Elephas maximus indicus: one gene and its partner. The protein of the gene in region 1 purifies or fractionates together with the protein of each later gene. This does not show direct contact. Links are inferred from orthologs where the notes say so. Each region holds a gene or a part of one and is shown on either strand. Other genes may lie near its edges.

What was found. The genes of interacting proteins can lie anywhere in the genome.
Region 2: the proteins of CCNA1 (region 1) and SKP2 purify together in Homo sapiens (affinity purification with western blotting; 4 studies listed by BioGRID). This does not show direct contact. The link is inferred for Elephas maximus indicus from reciprocal best matches to the Homo sapiens genes CCNA1 and SKP2.

The regions. Positions count from the first base shown.
Region 1 is NC_064832.1:99,588,243-99,598,793, reverse strand, and holds the start of CCNA1 (cyclin-A1), read right to left. Parts: upstream 4,458-10,551; 5' UTR 4,419-4,457; coding exon 4,317-4,418; intron 3,830-4,316; coding exon 3,644-3,829; intron 1-3,643. UniProt on the Homo sapiens protein: May be involved in the control of the cell cycle at the G1/S (start) and G2/M (mitosis) transitions. May primarily function in the control of the germline meiotic cell cycle and additionally in the control of mitotic cell cycle in some somatic cells.
Region 2 is NC_064820.1:41,306,590-41,316,925, reverse strand, and holds the start of SKP2 (S-phase kinase-associated protein 2), read right to left. Parts: upstream 3,942-10,336; 5' UTR 3,652-3,941; coding exon 3,644-3,651; intron 2,956-3,643; coding exon 2,684-2,955; intron 1-2,683. UniProt on the Homo sapiens protein: Substrate recognition component of a SCF (SKP1-CUL1-F-box protein) E3 ubiquitin-protein ligase complex which mediates the ubiquitination and subsequent proteasomal degradation of target proteins involved in cell cycle progression, signal transduction and transcription.

The sequences.
Region 1 (10,551 bases):
TTGTGCCAGGTGTCTTAGAGATCAGGCAAGGAGGCCATGTGGATGGAATAGAGGGACAGAAAGGCCAGAAAGAAAAGAGGCCAGATAGGGTGGGCCTTTCCAAGGGCATCAAGGACATGCCTGGAGCTGGGCAGCTGCTGGAGGGTTTGGGGCAGAGGAGCGGTATGACCTGACTTATGTTTGAAAAGGATTGCTCATGCTGTGTGTAGGGGAAGAGAGCAAAATTGGAGCAGAAGATCAGTCATGAATCTTGCAAATTCCAGGTCAGACATAACAGGGGTTTGGAGCAGAATGGCAACAAGAAAGGATGGGACGTAAAGAGGCTCTAGGTGCTCTGAAAGATAGAACCAGCAGTATTTTCTCAGCAGGTTAGATGTGGGATGGGAGAGAAAGAAGAGTTAGGGATGACCAAGGCTTTGGGGCTGAACAACAGGAAGGATGAATACTCCGTTTACTGAGATGAGGAAGACTTTGGGAAGAGCAGGTTGGGGGTAGGGAAGAGATGGGTAGTTTGTTTTGCACAGATTTGAGACATCTGTTCCATGAACCATGTGGAAATATCAAGTAGCCCGCTGAGTATGTGAGTCTGCGATACAGCTAAGAGGTCTGGGCTGGAGATCAAACTCTGACAGTCGTCCACAGGTGTTGTTAGCTGCCGTCAGGTAGCAACGCAGCCTGGTCCTGTGCTACCCCTGATCAGACCGTTGTGATCCACAGGGTTTTCACTGACTGATTTCTGGAAGTAGATCACGAGGCCTTTCTTCCTACTCTCTTAATCTGGGAGCTCTGCTGAAAACTGTTCGGCATCATAGCAACACTCAAGTCTCCAAGGACAGATGGTGGCTGTGCATGAGGTACACTGGCTGAGAACTGAACCTGGGTCTCCTGCACAGAAGGTGAGAATTCTACCCCTGAGCTCCAACTCATGGCGACCCCATGCACAACAGGACCGGACCCTTGTGGTCCATGGGTTTTCACTGGCTGCTTTTCAGAAGTAGATCTCCAGGCCTTTCTTCCTACTCTCTTAGTCTGGAAGGCCCACGGAAGCCTGTTCAGCATCAGAGCAACACACAAGCCTCTGCTGACAGACGGGTGTGGCTCCACTTGAAGTGCACTGGCCGGGAACAGAACCCGGGTCTCCCTCGTGGGAGGCTGTACCCCTGAGCCACCACGGCCTTCCCACACCCACCAAATGGCGTCTAACCCAGAAGACTTCAAGAGATCATTAGGGAGTGAATTCAAATTCAGGGGGCCAAAGACATGGCCCTGAGGCACCCTAGCCTTTAGAGACTGGGGAAATAAGGAGGAACTGGGAGACTAAGGAGGAGCCCTGATGGTTCAACAGTTCAGCGCTTGACTATTCACCCACCTAGTGGCGCCATGGGAGAAAGACCTGGCGATCTGCTCCCATAAAGACGGTGCAGCTCTCCTGCGTCCTACAGGTCACTATGAGTCGGAACCGACTCACGGCAACGGGTTTGTTTGAACATGGGATGAAATTGACAAGAGCAACTCAAAGGATTAGACAGGAAGCTTAGGGGGCAGTGAGTTTATGTTAATGGGGGAGGAGCAATTAGGGAAAGGGGGGTGAGAATGATCGCACAACCTGAAGAATGCAATCGAGGTCACTGAATTATACATGTGGAAACTGTTGGTGTATCTTCTGCTTTGTATATTTTCAACAACAAAAAAAATTATTTTTAAAAAAGACAGAAGGTATAAATTTCTAAGAAATCTAAATAAATTTCTAAGAAAGCTGTGGAGGAATGGAGTACACATAAGGGGTTGTTGTTGTTAGGTGCCATCAAGTCGGTTCCGACTCATAGCGACCCTATGCACAACAGAACGAAACACTGCCCGGTCCCGCGCCATCCTTACAATTGTTGTTATGCTTGAGCGCATTCATAAGGGGTTAAAAAAAACCGTGAAGGGTTATGAATTTAATGTGATACCAGTCAGCACAGGAATCGCTGCCGACTCCTGAGTTTAAAGCAGTCAATCTTGCTACATAAACTGTTACAGCCACTTTCGTTTTCTCCAAAAGTTTTGACCAGGTCACTCTGGCTATACCCTCTCCTCTCTCCCCCCAAATACCCCCAGAAAGCAGGCGGCTGCGCGAGTCAGTAGGCAGACTTCAGACTAGCCTCTGCCAAAACTTCTTTTTGTTTGTTTTGGCCTTTCTTAAACCTCTCAAGTTTTCTCATCTATAAAATGGGATTGACACAATGGCCAAAACAATGAATTCAAACATAGCAACAATGATCATGAAGGTGGCGCAGGACTGGGAGACACTTTGATGTTATACATCAGGTCACTGTGAGTCAGAGCTGACTGAACAGCAACTAACAACAAACAAAACAAAACACGGGTACCCTGCCGCACTTACTTCACTGGCCCATTTTGAGCCTCGGTCCTTTAAAGACAGGCAATGCAGGTTTAAGGCATCACCATGAAAGGGTGCATCTCATAGCAAGCTTGGGAAAGCTTTCCATCTCAAAATCCTTCCTAAGGATCCAAACTCCACATTTGCGTTTAAGCGTCTGAATCTGTCTTCAGTCGGTTAAGGGAAGCACCTCTGACCAACTGAGCACATACAGCTTCTCTCAGAGGGCCCAGTACCTGTCTGCCCAGTGTTGGGGAGATGCCTGCTTTCCAAGCACCCTTTCTGAATTGATCTAGTCAAGCCGGATTCCATCCTGATTCCAGAGCTTCTAACAAGTTTCCAGGAAGTTATACGTAAGAATCGCCTGGGGACCTAGTTAAAATGGAGATTGTGATTCAGTATATCTGGGGTGAAAATGCAAATTCTCAGCAGGAGTTCGAACCAGAATGAGACAGTTTGAAGGGCTGTCTGACTCTAACACTATCCGGGTAAACATAACAAAGGCTGTCTGGGATCACTCAAGCCTTTCTTACATCAGTCTGACTACCACTCAGACCTTGGTTAAACTCAACTGTTAAGCTAAGCTGCTATCCCTAAAGGTTGGTGGTTCAAATCTACCCAGTGGCTCCTTGGGAGAAGCACCTGATGATCCGCTCCTATAAAGATTACAGCCTAGAGAACCCTATGGGGAAGTTCTGCCCTGTCACATGGGTCACTATGAGTCGAAATCCACTTGATGACACCCAACAACAACATGGGGCATTTGTGTTTCCTTTTAGCCTGTTGTTGGGTGCCATTGAGTCAATTTTGATCCGTAACGACCCTATAGGACAGTATGGAACTGCCCCATAGGATTCTCCAGGTGGTAATCTTTACCAGAGCAGACCACCAGATGGCCAGGTCTTTCTCCCACATAGCTGATGGGTGGGTTCTAACCTCCGACCTATCCTTTAGCAGCAGAGCTCTTAACCATTGCACCACCAAGCTCCTACTTTTAGCCTAGCACCCAAATAAGTTTACATATACTTAATCCAAACAGTTTCTGAATTTATTTTCTTGATATTGGGAAAAATAACAACGAAAATTATTCAATTTCTATCGGAAAAGGGGATCTATCAAGATGCTCTTAAAAAATCCAGGTTCCAGTGTTGGAACCCTCAAGGGCAGTTTGTGGGTAAAACGGCAACCGTAAAGCTCCCCCTACATAGTAGGAGAGGAGACCCCAACAAGTGGCGCTCCGGGCCTCCGAGTCCTCCTTACCTGGCCGCAGGCCCTCCTGTACTGCCCATTCTCGGTAAGCACCCCCAGCACGGTCCTCTGGGGGGGTTCCTGGCCCAGCTGGGCTCTGCCGATCATCTGACAGGCATCATGGACCCCAGCCGCAGGGGCCAGGACAACGCCGCTCTTAGAGCTGCTTCGCCGCATGGCCTCGGTCTCCACCTGCTGCTGCGATGGGGAGCGAGGGACAGACAAGCAGGTTAGCCAAGCCCTCCGCCCTGGGCTCCCCGGGTGCTGCACCAGAACACGGTTTTCCCAGACACTATATTGTAATCTGTTCCCCTAAAGATCACAGCCTAGAAAACCCTTGAGGCACTTCTGCTCTGCCCTATAGGGTCGCTATGAGGTGGAATCCACTCGACGGCACCCGACAATATTAGGGCTGAAAAGGAGCGAGTGACTGCGCAAGGGACCAAAACGATGACTTCAATTCTGTGGTTTTCTTGCCAGTCTCCGTTGAGGACTGGAAGGAGAGCGACAAACCTTCAAGCCAGGATGCTAGGCTCCAACGGATTGGGGGTCTAAACCTACAAGCCCACGGTCTGTCCCCGCTCGGATGCTCTTCTCCCCCGCCCCAGACAAAAGACCCAGGACACCTGAGCGGGAAGGTGTTGTCTCCTCCCGCGGCCCCTCCCAGCACACAGAGGCCCCGCACCTGCTTGGAACCCAGGGGCCCGCTCCGCTCGGCGCTGGCTCTCTCGCACACCTGCCGAGCGCACCGAGGCCGGGCGGAGGCGGCGGGCGCCCAGGGGGTCATCGACCCGGCACCCGGCGGGCACTGGGCGCCCAGCCTCGCGTCTGTTGGGGCGGCCAATGGGCGGCGTCCCGGGCCTTGCGCGGCCGCTTCCATGCCAACCGCAGCGGCACGCGCCCGGGCCGCGTCGCCATGGCGACCCCTCACCTGGCGACCCTCTCACCTGGCGCCTCCCGGAGGCCCTGCCGCTGCGGGGCAGTCAGGACCCAGCGGCCCCCGGCCTCCTGCGTCGCCCCGCTTCCCTCCTAGCCGGCGCCCTGGCCGGGGAGGGAGGCAGGCTGCCCCCCGCGACCACCGGGCCGAAGGGACCGCTTCCGAGAGCCGGTTCCCCTAACAGCCGCTAACCCCCCGCTAACGTCTGTGCGCGGCCCGCCCCCGAGAACCCCACGGCCGGCCCGAGAGTCGGGGTGCGCGCTGGCTCGCTCCGCTCACACACCTGCGCGTCCTCCGGAGTGGCCGGCCCGAGTCCGCGGAGGCACCTGCGGGCATCGGGGGGGTCTGCGCCCCAGAGGCAAGCCCCGAGCCCGGAGCATGGGGCCCGGCGGACGGCGGAGCTGTGGGATTGGGAGCGCACGCAGGGCCCGAGGCCCCTGAGAGGGCTTCCCAGGAGGACAGCGGTGCGGGGACACCCAGAGAGCGACCCGGGAAGAGGAAGGATCACGGGAGCAATAAGAGGCCTGGGACGTTGAGGGGACACTGGGAGGTCCGGGACTGGGGGCTGGGCAGTGGCCTGGCCACGAGGGAGGACAGTCCCTGGACCTGGAGGTCACTGGCCAGGAGGGAAGGATGGGGTCAGGATGGGGTGGGGACGGGCGTTGGCCAATTGGGAAGGGAGGACAAGGTCAGTGAATCCTGGGCACCAGAGGCGGTGACTGACAGGTCAAGTAAAAAAGTCTGTAACTTTCTTATTTTAAAAAAAAATCATGGCAAACTCCATGTTTGCGGTGGAGTTGATTCCAACTCATAGCAACCCGATGTGATACAGTAGAACTGCTCCACAGGGTTTCTTAGGCCGCGATGTTTATCTGTTACTCAGGTTTTAAGAGCAAGAGTGTTTTGTTGTTAAAATGCAAAACCTGGAAGGAAAAAAAAAAAAAAAACAAACTTGTTGCCATTCAGTGGTTTCCAATTCGTACTGACCCCATAGGTCAGAAGAATTCCCTTATTGGGTTTCCAAAGTTGTAATCTTTACAGAAGCAGATTGCTGCATCTTTCTTCCTTGGAGTGGCTGGTGGGTTTGAACCCACGACCTCTAGGTTAGCAGCAGAGCACTTAACCACTGTGCCACCAAACCAAACCAAACCCGTTGCCATCAAGTCTTTTCCAACTCATAGTGACCGTACAGAACAGAGTAGAACTGCATCCTAGGGTTTCCGAGGAGAGGCTGGTGGATTTGAACTGCTAACCTTTTGGTTAGCAGCCTGAGCTTTTAACCACTGCACCACCAAGGCTTTTAAATATACAAAACACCAGTTCCTAAATCTCTAAAGCTTTCCCAAGAGCCATCCAAATGGTCAAGGACCTGTTGGTTATTGCAGTCTTCCTTATTTTGAAAGGAAATGATTGTTAATCTCACCCCAAAACATATCTAAGTGCCCTTTTTTTCCCTCAGTGAGCTGGGTGTGCATTGTTTTAACGGGAAAATACAAGTATTCTACAGAAAGAGTGGATGAAACCCATGTGGGTGAGTCAGATGTGAGGGGAAGTTGGAAAGCATCTCAGGAAGCACCGAAAATGGCCTTGTTGAATGTGAAATTAATCTTGCTGTGCTTACCAAGGAGCCCGGTGGCACAGTGGTTAAGAGCTCAGCTGCTAACCAAAAGGTCAGCTGCTTGAAGGCACCAGGCACTCCTTGGAAACTCTGTGGGGCAGTTCTACCCTGTCCTATAGGGTCACTATGACCTGGAATCGACTTGATGGCAATGGGTTTGGTTTGGGTTTGGGATGCTTACCAAGGAGCCCTGGTGGCACAGTGGTTAAAGCACTCAGCTGCTAACCATAAGGTGGGCAGTTGGAACCCACCAGCCCCTCTGCTTGGAGGAAGAGGGGGAATGTATTATTCAGTATGCTCCTCCTTTGAGCCCTGGTGGTGCAGTGGTTAAGTGCTCGGTTGCTAACCAAAAGCTAAGTGTTTCAAACCCACCAGCCGCTCTGTGGGAGAAACATGAGGCAGTTTGCTTCCATAAAAATCTACAGCCTCAGAAACCCTATAGAATAGTTCTACTCTGTCCTATAAGGTCACTATGAGTCTGTGGGTTTGCTTACCATGGGCTCTCGTTGGCAGGAAACAGTAACCCTTTGCACCTCTGAATTTTTGTGCCTTCGACTAGGATGCTGAGGGGACCTGAAGGCTCGGCTTTGCAAGGGGTTCTATCTGGTGGAAAATGGGAATATTTCTGTCCTGTCACCTCTCTCTGCTTTTGGACATCTTCCCAGAAGCCCTCCCCCACATGGCAACACTGTTGTGATTTCTGGGGACGGATGCTGAGGCCTCGGTAGTTAACTCCCTAGGGTCCTGGGAGCAATTTGTTCCAAAGACCGGGGTCACCTTGCCAGAAACAAGATTTGCTCTGTTTCATGCGCCCTGACCTGTGACATCCCTTTTGATCTGATTTCCTGGGACAAAAATCGCCTAAAACTCACCACTTTTGCCTTTCCTCTAAACAAAGAAGCCAGCACGGTGTTTGTTCCGGGAGCCTCATTTGGATTCTATTTTCTGGGGCCGGAGCTCCAGCGGCTGGGGGGAGAGGGGCACCAGGCTTCTGTGGAGGGAGCTCTGGGGGGTCAGAGCTCCAGCAAGAGGGGAGCACCAGGCTTCTGTGGAGGCAGCTTTTTGAAGCTGGGTGTTCCCCACTCCAACCATGGCCAGGACCAGAAAGGGGAGGCCACAAAGTCGTCCTCCAGAGCCTCTAGCCTGAAAAATGCCTTCAAAAAAGTAAAATACCTGCTAACCAGGTGGGACCCTCTAGTTAGTTCATACCCTCTCATTTCAATAGCTGCATCCTAATCCAGTTGTTTTGGGGTGACATTGAGTCAGTTTCGACTCATATGGACCCCATATGACAGAGTAGAACTGCCCCATAGGGGTTTCTAGGCTGTAATCTTTTCCATGCTAGGAGCCCTGGTTGCACAGTGGTTAAAGCACTCGGCTGCTAACCAAAAGGTCGGCAGTTGGAACCCACCAGCTGCTCTGCAGGAGAAAGATGTGGTGGTCTGCTCCCGTAAAGATTGCAGCCTTGAAAACCCTATGCAGCAGTTCTACTCTGTCACTTGGGGTCACTGTGAGTTGGAATCGACTTGAAAACCAGTGCAGAAGGGAGAAAATAGCGCCACCTGGAGATGGCCAAGGAAAGCCCAGAGGAAACCCGAGAAGCTGAGAGGAGCGTTTTCCCCAGAGCGGACAGAGAGCATTCCCCTAGGTTGACTCCCTGAATCGGGACTGTGAGAAAATACATTTCTGCTCGCTAAACCACCCACTTGTCGCATTGCTGTTAAAGCAGCACTAAGAAGCTACATCGGCTGTATCCGAAAGTCAAGCCTTAAGATCCGTAGTGTTTAGTAAAGGTGAAACTGGGGAAGCTTCTTGTCTAGGCTTCGCAGACATTGGTTGAGAAGGGTTCACACAGAAATGTAGGTAGTGCAATCGAAGCACTGAATTTTTAATTAAATGTATGTAGTCACATGTAGCTGAGGGCTATCTCATTGGTGAGCACAGGATCCTGTCAAATAACCAAATCCAGATGTTATCAGAAAGAGGCTGTAGTCCAAAAAAGGAGAAAGGGAAAGGGGCTATTACAGTAGGGGGAGGAGCCTATTGTAATATATAAGATCAGTAAAGGTCTCACAAGTTAGGAAAAAGTGTTGTTTTTTTTGTGTGTGTAGACTGAGGGTAAATCAGGCTAGAAAAAGCCCAGGTGTGGAGAAGTGGGGTGAGTAGGTGACTTTGTCAAATAGTAAATCAGAAAGGTTTAGGCCAAGGTCAGCCTATTCTCCAGGAGGCCCTTTAGAGAGAGGTGCCATGCTCAGGTTTGCCATCAGAACCTCCTGAGTTTTTTGCAGGGTAGTCACATCACAGCACACAAATAAGACCCAAAACATTCCTGTAGGCCTGGAGAATCAGGGTAGGGTAAACGTAACCCACTAATGAAAGCCCATATCTTCAGCCTTCACGCATTGACCTTGAACAGATAGTTGCTGGAGGCAGCTCAGGTCCTTCGTGGCTGGGGTCTGAGGGTGGCAACTGCAGGCAGCGTCCCTGGCGGGGCCTCAGGCAGAGTGCTAGCTTCAGAGAGGTTCAGAGATTGACAGAGTCCTCCCGCCTTAGACCAGCTCCCAGGGAAGAGCAAGACAGGTTTTTATGGTTTAGTCCCTCTATCTTGTGTAACCAAGGTCCTATCAGGGGTGCTGGCTCACACTGTGTCAGGGTAATCCCCATCTTAGCTCATAACTGGGTACGCATTCTACAAGGCCAGCAGCTACACTAAGGGCCACACCAGCTCACGGCCAAGCAGCTGCCAATAGTAAGGTAGCCGATTACAACTGGAAGTTGTGCACAACGGAGAAGTTGCATGTCGGTTTCAGGTAGCTTACAGCCTGGCTTAAGTGTTCCAGTCACACGTTCCGCGCTTCACACACATGTGACGTGGAAACCCTACATTATAAGCATGTATCACAGAGTGGCGTGTTAGCGCAGGCTGAGGAGCAGGGCAAAGTTCAGGGACTTTAGGAAGGAGAGAAGCTTCACCAAAGTCTGACGAACAATCACTTGGTTTCTGATTGACCGCTGAGGTCAAGCAGCTCAGTGACTCATTTATGAGACAAGAACCAGGAATGTGGAGAGGCTGTGGCCAGTCTTGTCCTAGGTGAACAGGGTGTCTGTGAGCCTTAGCTAAGTCACGTGGGAAGGGTGGCTCTTTGCAATGAGCCATTCTGAACGCAAAGGTGGGGGAGTTCCTTTAACCATTGCTGTTTTCCAGGATCTGTACAGTGTCCAGGTGAAAGTCAGCAGGGTCAGTAGAACAGTGGTGGTGGAGAGCAGTCACAGCATACGGTCATCTCTTCTGCTGCCGCGTCTGCAGGTGTGTATGCTCATCATGACTAGCTTCCTCCTGAGTGGCTCTCCTAACTCGCAATTAAGTGCACCAATAAATAATGACAGGAAACCGTCTATCCAGGGTGGGTTCACCATGCAATTCATAAGAAAACCTGTTTATAAATGAGCCAGAAGGAAGTTTATCTGGGAATTGTACTTTCCTTGTTAAAAAGAAATGCTCCGAGGTGTCCATCAACAGATGAATGGGTAAACAAGGTGTGGTATATATACACAATGGGGTATCATTCAGCCATGAAGAGGAGTGAAGTTCTAACCCACAATACAGCGTGGAAGAACCTTGAAAACATGATGCTGAGTGAAATAAGCCAGACATAGAGGACAAACACTGTATGATCCCACTTACATGAAGCACCTACAGCAGACAAATGAACAAAACTTATGAGTGGTTACCAGGGGCTGCAGGGAGGAGGGAACGGGGAGTTATTACAAAAGGGAGCTGAGTTTCTGGGGTGATGTAGAGCTTTTTGAAATGGATAGTGGTGAAGGAGCCACAACATGGTGAGTGTAACTGATGTCGCTGAAGTCTACATTACAAGTGGTTCAGACAGAGACCTTTTTGCTGTGTATATGTTACACAGGATGCCTATGAGTCAGAACTAACTCACCTGCACATAACAGCAACAATATATATTTCACAACAATGAGAATTTTCTGAAAAATAGAAATGCTCATTCTTTTCCAGGGTCAGACAAGAGTTCAGAGGAAGAATCAGAACAGCTGAAAGATCAAGTTAGATTCTTGTGAAATTAACTAAACTTTTATCACTTAATTTTATAGATACAATTCTTTAGTTAGAGTTGCTGAATCCTGGGTTTATATGATAGTTCATATAAAGTACAGCTTAAGCTTCGTTTCTGTTAATACTAAAGTTTTAAGTTGAATTCTATGACCAATCAAATTCAAACTCTAGTATGAAACGCTGTCGTCGTCGTTGTTGTTGTGTGTCGTTGTTATGAGTCGACTCCACTCACAGCAACCCCATGTGACGGAGTAGAACTGCCCCACAGGGTTTCCTAGGCTGTA
Region 2 (10,336 bases), on another chromosome or scaffold:
GGGGCCAGGCATTAACGACCACCAATTACTGACCTCACTGCTGGGCCACTTCCTCCCCAATTCCTACTACGCATTCACCCCCAAGGGCCAATCAGACCTGTCCTGGCACAGGTTGGCCACACAGCTTTTATCTTCCAGTGTAAATAGATGAAGAGGATTTAGTCACCAGATGTGAACCTGGATTGGGGCCTGGAGGGACAGGAGGTTGAACCAGGACTTCGAACCGGTTTGTCCTGGTTCTCTGAATCCCCTGCTAAGAGTTTGCACTTTCACCCCAGATATACTGAATCTGAATCTACATTTTAACAAGATCTCCAGGAGATTCTTGTGTATAATAAATTTTGAGAACCACCACGTTACTAGTGGAAACCCTGGTGGTGTAGTGGTTAAGTGCTATGGCTACTGAAGGAAGGGTTGCGGTTCAAATCCACCAGGCATTCCTTGGAAACTGTATAGGGCAGTTCTACTCCGTCCTATAGAGTCGCTGTGAATTAGAATCCACTTGACAGCAACAGGTTTGGTTTTTGTTTTGTTTTGTTTTTGCTTTACTAGTGGTTCTCAGAACTGGCCCCTAACCAGCAGCATTAGCATTGCCCAGGAACTTGCTGGAAATGCAAGTTCTCAGCAGGCGTTCCAACCAGAACAGATTGGAAGCCCTAGGCTGAACACAGAACCAAGAAAAAACTACACAGCCCAGGGCCTCTGTCATCAGATATCTACATGAAGCAGGTGTGGCCTGTTCTACCCCAATCCTGGCAGAGCTATTAGCCACCTGTCCTGACAACTGCAAACAAATTCCTGGAATGATGATCCAACCACACTGGAGGCACTGCCCAGGTTCCAGAGGCCCACTGGGAATCCTCTACAGCAGCTGTCCCTCGTCCTACATCACTGAATCTACCCACATACACACCAATTAACCAATCCACATTGTGTGTAATTCCATACATGCACAAACATGTGTTATTAGTGTCTCTCTTGGTCTCTCTCAAGTAGTAACAAACATAAAGGTTCATTTTTTTTCTCTCTCACCTCAGACATGTTTTTAAAGTCAGGTTTAACAATTTAGCCTCATTTACTGGACCATTTCCAGATCTTTCTCTCCCTTCCAAGAGTAGTGATTTTGATGAACTTGGCCAGTACCAATGACTCTCGACATGGAGTATGACTGGTGTCTCTCCTTCCACATTCACACACAGACAGAGATAAAATAATCTCTGTTTTCTAAGTGAAGTGATGTGAGAAATAAATATGCCCAGTAAGACGCGTTACCTATACTAAAAAGATATGATTTATTGAGGACACTTCAACAAACCACTCTTGCTGCGAGGAAGAAGGAGGATCATCCACCTGAATGGGCATTACCATTGAAGCCCTTCTGCCTCTGGGAAGCTTCAAGTCACTTTGGCACAAATAAGCTCCTCCCTCTGGCCTCCTACAGTGCTCACTACCTACGCTACTTGTCTGCTGCTAGTGTATTATCCACCATGTATTACTGTAAACTTGTTATTTCTTATCGTCTTTTCTCCTCAACTTGACTTGCAAATTCCCAGAAGACAGCAATCACCTCTTAAACTTCTGACTTGTTTCCCACAGAGCCTTGCTTAAGAAATGTCATTTTTATTTATGCCTGTCTGTGTAGGAATGCGGAAGGACAGGCACCAATAACACTACGTCAAGAGCTATCAGTTCTTGGCAATTCAGCCAAAATCTGTTCATCTTAAAAGGAAGTGTCTTTCACATTTGGTTGGTCAAGCACCAAATGGCTAGTGCTCCATTTCAGACACTAAAAATACCAGTGACATTAAATTTGGAAAAATAAATAAATAATTTCAGTTAAGTCACTCTGGCTTCAGGGGATGGATCTGGGGAGGATAAGCTGGAGTTATGCATGTATTCCAATAGGCAAGAGATGATGAGAATTTGAGAAATACTTAGGAGACAAGAATGGAAGATGTAACGATTGATTGGATATTGGGGGATGGTAGGAATCTATGCTGACCCTTAGGTTTTTGGTTTGGGTGATTGAGCAGGCAGCAACTGAGACAGAAGCTACCAGGAGAAGCCCATCTGGAAGTAGGCCTGAGAGATAAGTCTCTTCCACTTAGTTTAATACACAAATACTTTAGCAACTTATTGACAAAATACCTAAAGTGATTAGTGCAAAAAGCTCACCCAGGGCTTTAAGAAAAAGGAATCCTGGAAGAAGACTACTGTTTATGCTGCCATTTATCTGTGAAACTAAGCTGGCTGGCTACTTCATGCCTTTCTTCAGGCAGATTCCCTTCTACAGAAAAGAGCAGAAAGGTATTGTCTCGGGTTAAGATTTTCAAGTCAATTATACACCAGATACCCAGAAAGATTCCTATAGACTTCAAAGACAATTACTTCCTCTATTCCTTCAAAAAATAACTTCAGAGCTGTTGTTAGGTGCTGTAGAGTTAGTTCTGACTCATAGTGACCCTATGTACAACAGAATGAAACACTGCTGGCTCCTGAGCCAGCCTCAAAATAGTTGCTGTGTTTGAACCCATTGTTGCAGCCACTGTTTCAATCCAATTTAAGAATTAGGCAACTTAACATAGGAAACCATCCTAAAGATCCCTGAACAAAGGCTGATGGACAAAACAGTGCAAACCATCCACCCCCTTATGTGACTGCCAGTTTTACCTGCATACCTTACCTGGAAAGTTCTCTCGATTTAGCTTGGGTCTGCGAACAATCACAAAGTCCTTGTCATTCCCCTTGCTTTTCAGCCGCTTTCGCGGGGGGCTCTGCGGGTGACTAAGGCTGGAGAGCAGTTCCTGGGGGATATTTTCACTGTCCACCTCCTCCTTCTCCAGGGCAGAGACTCCCATGCCTGAGAGCAGTTCTGAAGTCTTGCTAGAATCCCATCCCCACGTGAAACTGGTGGTAACGTTGCTACTTTGGTCCGGAATCTCCTGGAGGTGTTTCCTGCAGAAATGCACAACACTCCCTTTCTTTTCAAGAATAAAGCCAAAACCAAACCCATCCCCCGTCCAGCCTTTCGATTCATAGTCACCCTATAGGGCAGAGTAGAACTGCCCCACTGAGTTTCCAAGGCTGTAATCTTCAGGGAAGCAGACTTCCACATCTTTCTCTTTCGAAGCGGCTGGTGGGTTCGAAATGCAGACCTTTTGGTTAGCAGCCGAGCGCTTAACCATTTGAGCCACGAGGGCTCCAAGGTAGGCACAAAAGAAGCTGCAGTTTATGCGCTGTAGAAAACTTGAAACTTCCGCAGCAGTTAATAAAATTGCATTTGTAAGTGCCAGTGGCGAAATCCCAAGAAAAAAAAATAACCGAACAAATGGGAAAGGCTTTTGATTTACGATCACGCAGGCAGGCCTCAAGAATTTCTTACGGTGGAGGGAACAAGGAGGGAGGGAGGGCAGCCATCCAGTGATTTTGAAAACCCTGCAGGAAAGCCCTATAAGGGAAGCCAAATAAAACGTCTCGCTAATCACCTCACTAAAACATTTATCCACACTTTCCCAAAGAATGGGCTAAGCAACCATTCGCATAATCACAGCATTAGTAACAACAACAGCAAGTAGCAGTATTCACGGCCTAAAAGAATTAAGACGGTCCATGCACGCTCTGCCCCTTTTTGCAATCGGTTTACCTGTGCATGGCGTCCACCGATTCACAGGAGTTTTAAATACGTGCATTAATTGCGGAGCTGCTGCTTCGGGATTCCGGCTTTGGCGCGCGGCAGCTCCGAGCGCTCAGCGCTGGCCCCCAACAGTGAGACCCGCGAACTCTAGTAACGTTCCATCCCCGCCGCGCGCACAGGGCTCTTCTGCCCGCTCTCCTCTGCGGCAGAGGTCTGAGGCCCAGCTGCCTGCTGGGAATTGTAGTTCCTATGCTGTCCAGGAGTCAGGCTGGCTCGCCCTCTACTTCCTGAATCCTTCCCTTGAAGCTTCGCAGGCCTTTGAGATACCCACAACCCCCCGCGGCCCACAGGGGCGGGCAGGGAAGCGGAAGTGGGCGGTGCTCCGGCTGACTGGGAATGTCAGCTGCTTGAGTGAGAAAGGGTTTTCCTTTCCCGGGAACCTGCAGGCCTTCTGCTGACTGCTTCCGCCGTCATTTCAGAGCGGGGGTCCCAGAACCTGGACGGCTGTGGTCGACGCGGAGTTTCTTGGTCCCGTCCAGATTCTGTCTGGTGAGATCAGACGGTGAGCTTGAGGGAGGGGATGAGACACTTTGGGGTCTGGGGTCTGAGGTCCGGGGCGGAGCAGAGGAGGACACGGAGGGAACCCCGGAGATCCCGAACGGCTGCCGCCGCGGGGCCTGCGTCCCCGGCCACTGCATGGAGCCAGTAGCCCGGCCCGTCACCCAGGTGGGCGTCACACCTGCTCTGCCCTCTGCCAGGAAGCTCTTCCTGCACCGGGGAGAGGCGGCCCTTGGGCCCTTCAGGAAATGATTTCAGAATTAGACTGGGTCTGTGGGCAGGATCCTTTCCTTACCTGTGAAATAGGCACTACGACAACAACGCTCTTGTTACAGGCGTTGAATGAGGATCGAATCAGATAACGGTTGTGGAAGCGTTTTCTAAACTACAGCGCAGTTGGAATGAGAGAGGATGGTTGAATTTTAGGGGAACAAGAGACCACCTTGGTTCCTGTGTGCGGTGGGAAGGGTGCGCATCCCCTTGCAGCCTTGACAAATCTCCTAAATGCTAGTATGGGAATAAATATGGTTACTGTACTCGACGGCACTGGGTGGGTTGTGTATCTGCAAAGGGCTTTACCAGGGCTAAGCTCTGAGCCACCAGCAAAGCCATTCGGTTGCTCTCGGCCAACCGGCTGCATCCATTTGCGTCGCCACCTAGAACTGCTTTAGCCTATCTCTGCGGGAAACAGTTTGGGGGCGTTAGAGTAGGGAGTGTACCATATTCCAGGTAGGATGACCGTGCGAAATCCATTGTGCATTGCAAACTACTACAACGATGGCCCCGGGAAAACAGTGGAAGAGAGAAGAGGGATGAATTCCAACCGTAATAAAAATAATGAGGGTTTATAAAGTTTTTTTATAAAGTTTAGAATTATGCAGGGCAGTTTCATCCCCAAAGAATTAGTTCAGTGGGGAGAAAGAGTGGCTGTCTGTTCCCATAAAGATTACAGCCTTGGAAGCCCTATGGGGCAGTTTTACTCTGACCTATAGCTTTGAAGAGTCAGAATCCACTCGATGACAGTGGTTTTATGCTGTATGACATACCTTCATACTACTTTGAAAAAAATGATTAGATTCTTGAAAAGTAACCACTTCTTGACAGGAAGGAATTCATGAACCTTTATTTTGTTCTCGAAAGTAGGTGAGATTTCTATTAAGAGGGGATCTGTTCACAAATTGATTTTGATCAACACTAGGTGAAGAATACTAGGCTTAGTGTGCACAGTTCATTAAACTACTGTTAGATGATAATTTTTTTAAATGCAGTATTCCTGGTTTTTTGCACGGTAGTTACCTATCTTTACTTTGGCTAAGGAGAAAGCAGTTGCCTTCATTTGAGATATACATACTTTCCCTTAAGCTTGCAACTCATTACAGAAAATATTTCTAACAAAAAAAGTTATAGTCTCCAGGAAAGTGAACAAGACAGAGGGAACTGGTAACCTTGTGGGGAGAAAGGATAAAAAAATATTTAAAATGCCGTGGTGAGCACTGTCTTAGTTACTAGGGCTGCTGTAACAGAAGAACCGCAAGTGCATGGCTTTAAAGAACAGAAATTTATTTTCTCACAATTTAGGAGTCTAGAAATCTGAATTCAGGCACCAGCTATAACGGAAGGCTCTCTCTTTGTCAGCTGTAGGGGAAGATCCTTGTCTTTTTCAGTTTCTGTAGCCCTACCTGTTCCTTGGTCCCTTGACAATCTTCACATGGCACCTCTCTTCCCGTTTGTTTTTGCATGTCTTTATCTACCATTTTTTATAACTCTGGTAATGGGTATGGCTCAGTAACATAACATTAGATTGCATACAAAGGTGATTGCAGTACATTACATTACATCTACAGGTACAGGGGTTAGGATTCCACCACGTATTTTGGGGGGACACAATCCATAGCAAGCGTAACAAAGTTTTGAGATATAAAGTAATTGGAATAGGCCACTTTAGATACAAATCTCATAGATAAGAAGGTCTAGTAGATGGGAAGATACTAAATTTAAGGATAAGAAATATTCTTGTTCTGTCTGCTGTTTAGGGAGCATTTCTAGTTCTTAGAATACTGGCAGTATCTGAATTAATGGACATAAGGTCCATTAATTGGTAGGTAGCTAGTAATTGCAAGTCTTCAGCTGAAGGTCCAAGTCCTCTGCTACTGGAGTAGATATTTCACTAACAGTGTTTGCCCTGGTAAGAGAAATACTTCAGCTTGCTAATATGGAACTTTTTTTCTCATTCCTTCCATTCATGGCTGTAAATAAAAGTTTAAATAGATACATGTGATACTGTTTGATATAAGGAATTGTGTCCATTGAAGACTTGCAGTTACTGGCTACGTACAGACGTCTTGTTATTTGTTCTCTTAATTGCACTGTGATTGCTACTGATGTGGAATATTTTATTTTCCTGATTAATTTTGTTAGTTTAACCTTAGCACATCCCATTTCCCACTTTGGGGTACACCATATTTCCAGAACTAAAATCCCTTCCCTATGTTAGTATCCAGGACAAATGAATTACAGTCTCTTTTAACGTCTGCAAATGACTTAGGGCCCGTCATTTCTAGTACCCTTTGGAAGCTTCAGATAGACTCCAAAGTGACTGTGTAAACTGGGGAAGTGTTTATCACCGAGAGATGCTCAGAATGGGCAAGGGTGGTATTATCTGTTTAGAGGTAAAATTATAGGAGGGACCAAAAAGGACTGGAAATCATAAATGATTATAAGCTATTTATTACATGTGTGTGTATGTATACACATATATATGTATATATATCTTATAAGCATTGTTGTTAGGTGCCATGAGTCGGTTCTGACTCATAGTGATGCTATGTACAACAGAACGAAATACTGCCCAGGCCTGCAACATCTTCTCAATTGTTGCTCTGCTTGAGCCTATTTTTGCAGCCTCTGTCAAGACATCTCACTGAGGGTCTTCCTCTTTTTTGAGAACCCTCTGGTGGTATTTGAAATACCACTGGCATAGCTTCCAGCATCACAGCAACACGTAAGCCACCACAGTGCTACGAACCGACAGATGAGTGGTGGCTTATAGTCATAAATATAGTCATAGGTGTGTGTGTGTACATATATAAGTATATGTTATTTTCGAAAACCAAATATGACAAAAGAGATTCTATTTAATGAGAATGGTGATGAATTTTTTCCTTAGCTCCTTCACACCCACCAAACCCACTGCTGTCAAGTCGATTCCAACTGATAGAGATCCTATAAGACACAGTAGAACTGCCCCATAAGATTTCCAAGGCTGTAAATCTTTACAGAAGCAGACTGCCCCATCTTTCTCCTGCAGAGCGGCTGGTGGGTTCGAGCCACCGACCCTTTGGTTAGCAGCCAAGTGCTTTAGCCACTGCGTCACCAGGGCTCCTAGTTCCTTCATAGTATGAAATAAATTGTAAAATTCTTGAGTTTTTTTTCTCACATCATTTAGCTCGGGAACAAGAGCCTGAGAACAATTATGTGGCAAGAAGTTTGTATCTGCTAATAAAATTTGAGAAAGGATCTTTTTTCCTTGATTAATTCTACAGTAAATCTTTTGTTCTCTGCAGTTAAATGCTGTCAGTGATGGGCAGATGGTGGAAAGGTTCTGGCCCTGATTCTAATTTGCTCTATGTTTTCTTTTCTACTTTTCCCATACAGATTAGAATCACATATTACCCTTAAGTCAACTAATGGCAGTATTACTCTGAGGTAAAGAGGCTTAGCTAAGTTCTACATTGAACATTTTCTTCTTATACTGTGAACTATGTCTTGATAGGGATGATCAATAGGGGAATTTCTGATTGTTCACTATGGAGACTGAACAGAAGAAATTTATTTAAACAATTTAAATTGCATTAAGAAACTATGTCTGGACTGGAGAAGAGAAGATGTAGCTTTCTAACTGTGAGCCAGACTCTAGTTAGGATGCCTCAGTTTGAATCCCAGCTTTGCCATTTTAAAAAAAAAAAAAAAAAAATTTTTTTTTTTTTTTTTGTGGGAACTTGGGGAAACCCTGGTGGTGCAGTGGTTAAGTGCTACAGCTGCTAACCAAGAGGTCAGCAGTTCAAATCTGCCAGGCGCTCCTTGGAAACTCTGTGGGGCAGTTCTACTCTGTCCTATAGGGTCACTATGGGTCGGAATCAACTCGACGGCAGTGGGTTTGGGTTTGGTTTTGGTGGGAACTTGGATAAATTCCTTATCCTGTTTGTGCCCAATTTTCTCCTTTATTAAACAAGAATACTAACAGTCTTCTCTTTAGTATGATAAAGCTTGTTAAGTAGGAGCACAATATTTAGTAAGTGCACACTAAATGTTAGCTATTCTTTTTTAAAATTATTTTGTTATTAAGAGAAAGTGTAAGGATTATTTTCTAATTACCAAAACAAGTCTTGCATTATCTACCTGAGATCTTTAAGAATTCATTAAAATTTTACTTGCTTTCTTCTGACCTCTGTACATGGTTGCAACCCCTTCCCTTCATGCCTTGCCAAAGACAGAACAGTTTGTGTGTGTCCTTCTCCTAAACACTTGTCACACTTTGGAATTCGGTTCGACTAGTTGTTTTGCCACCTCAGCCTTTAGATGGGCTTCGAAACATATTACTTTCTCCCATTTTTAGACTGAGAGTGATGTTCTCTTATAATATTCTACATTCTAAAGTAAATTCTATCTACACGTGAAATCTTTCAGCAGGGAATGATGATTTCCTTGAGAAAATTTAAATTTTTATTGGTGGGAGACAATTGTTGACTTTTCTCACTTCTAGTTCTGATTCTTTTGATTTTTCATTATTATGATCTTGAGTTATCTCCTCATTTTTATTATTTTATATATCTGAGTAAAGGTACATATTGCAGTTGACACTCTCCGAGTCTGATGAATCATTAGGTTCTAGTTGAAATTTTTCATTCAGTTTCAGAATCTTTAGTTTTGGCAAAATTTTTGTCAGTTTTTTGTTTATGTTCTGATCCATTGCATTCCTCCTTCCTTTCCTCCCATTCCTTCCTTTCTCTCGCTTTTTCTCCTTTTTTTGTAAATATTTGGAATGCTTCAAATTTCAAAATTATCTTAACTTCTAAATTTTCCACTCAGAGTGTGTTTAGCCTAAAGAAACAATGCTAGAGTCATAAAGGACTCAGGAAACAGTATTCTAAGTTAGTAACATTAGTAATTCAATTATGAAACTATTGTAAAGACACCTGAAAGTAGTGTTGAATAATGTCTTGATTAGAAAAAGACTGAATTAGATTTTTAATGTTTAAGACTATTTCAGAGCTAGTATATTGAAAGGTTGAATATGACATCAAAGCAGGCACAAATTTTGAATGGATGAATGAATTAGCATTTTGATTTTGAGTAAAATCAACCCTTGTTTCTGTGGTGTTAATATCAACCTTATGATCTTTTTTTTTTTTTTTTTAATCATATGTAACTGAATTTTGATTTGCCTCAATTTTAGGAATTTCTTTTTTGTCATTTAGCCTAAACATGTAATTTTAATATTTAAATAATATTATAGAAGGACCAATGTCGTTGTCAGAGGCATAGTTCCAATTTTGCTCTTGAGTATGTTTTTTAAAACCGCACGTGGTTACAGTTCAAATGATATAGACTAGTCTGCCTTTTTGATCATCGTTCCAGGAAAAATGACATTGTCTTTCTATAGGACATTAGTGTGTCAAGTGTATCTTCTGGACATGACTCTGATGTGTGTTTTGTCTCTGTCACAACAAACAGATGAAAGGACGTTTTAGCTACCTTGCAGACCTAGAGAGGTAATCCCAACTTGTTGAGAGAGGCACAGGGATCAACTTTGGGAGCCAGGCTGATTTCTTGTTTTATAGGACAGAAAGTAGGCCCAGGCTGTGGTGCCCATTGAGCATGAAAAGCAGAACACAGTTGATTTTCATTCGTAGTTGTTTTTTTGGGGGGGGGAGTAGGGGGTTGGGGGGCAGGGGAGATACCATTTAGGGTAAAGTATGAGTTGAAGCTATGCTTTGAGACTGTTGAGAAAACTAGTTAGTTTTCTTCTGGAGTCTCATGATATAAAGGAGGCAGAGAATAGCAACTAACATTTATTGAGTACCTTTCGTACTCTGTAGGGAAACCCCGGTGGCATAGTGGTTAAGTGCTATGGCTGCTAACCAA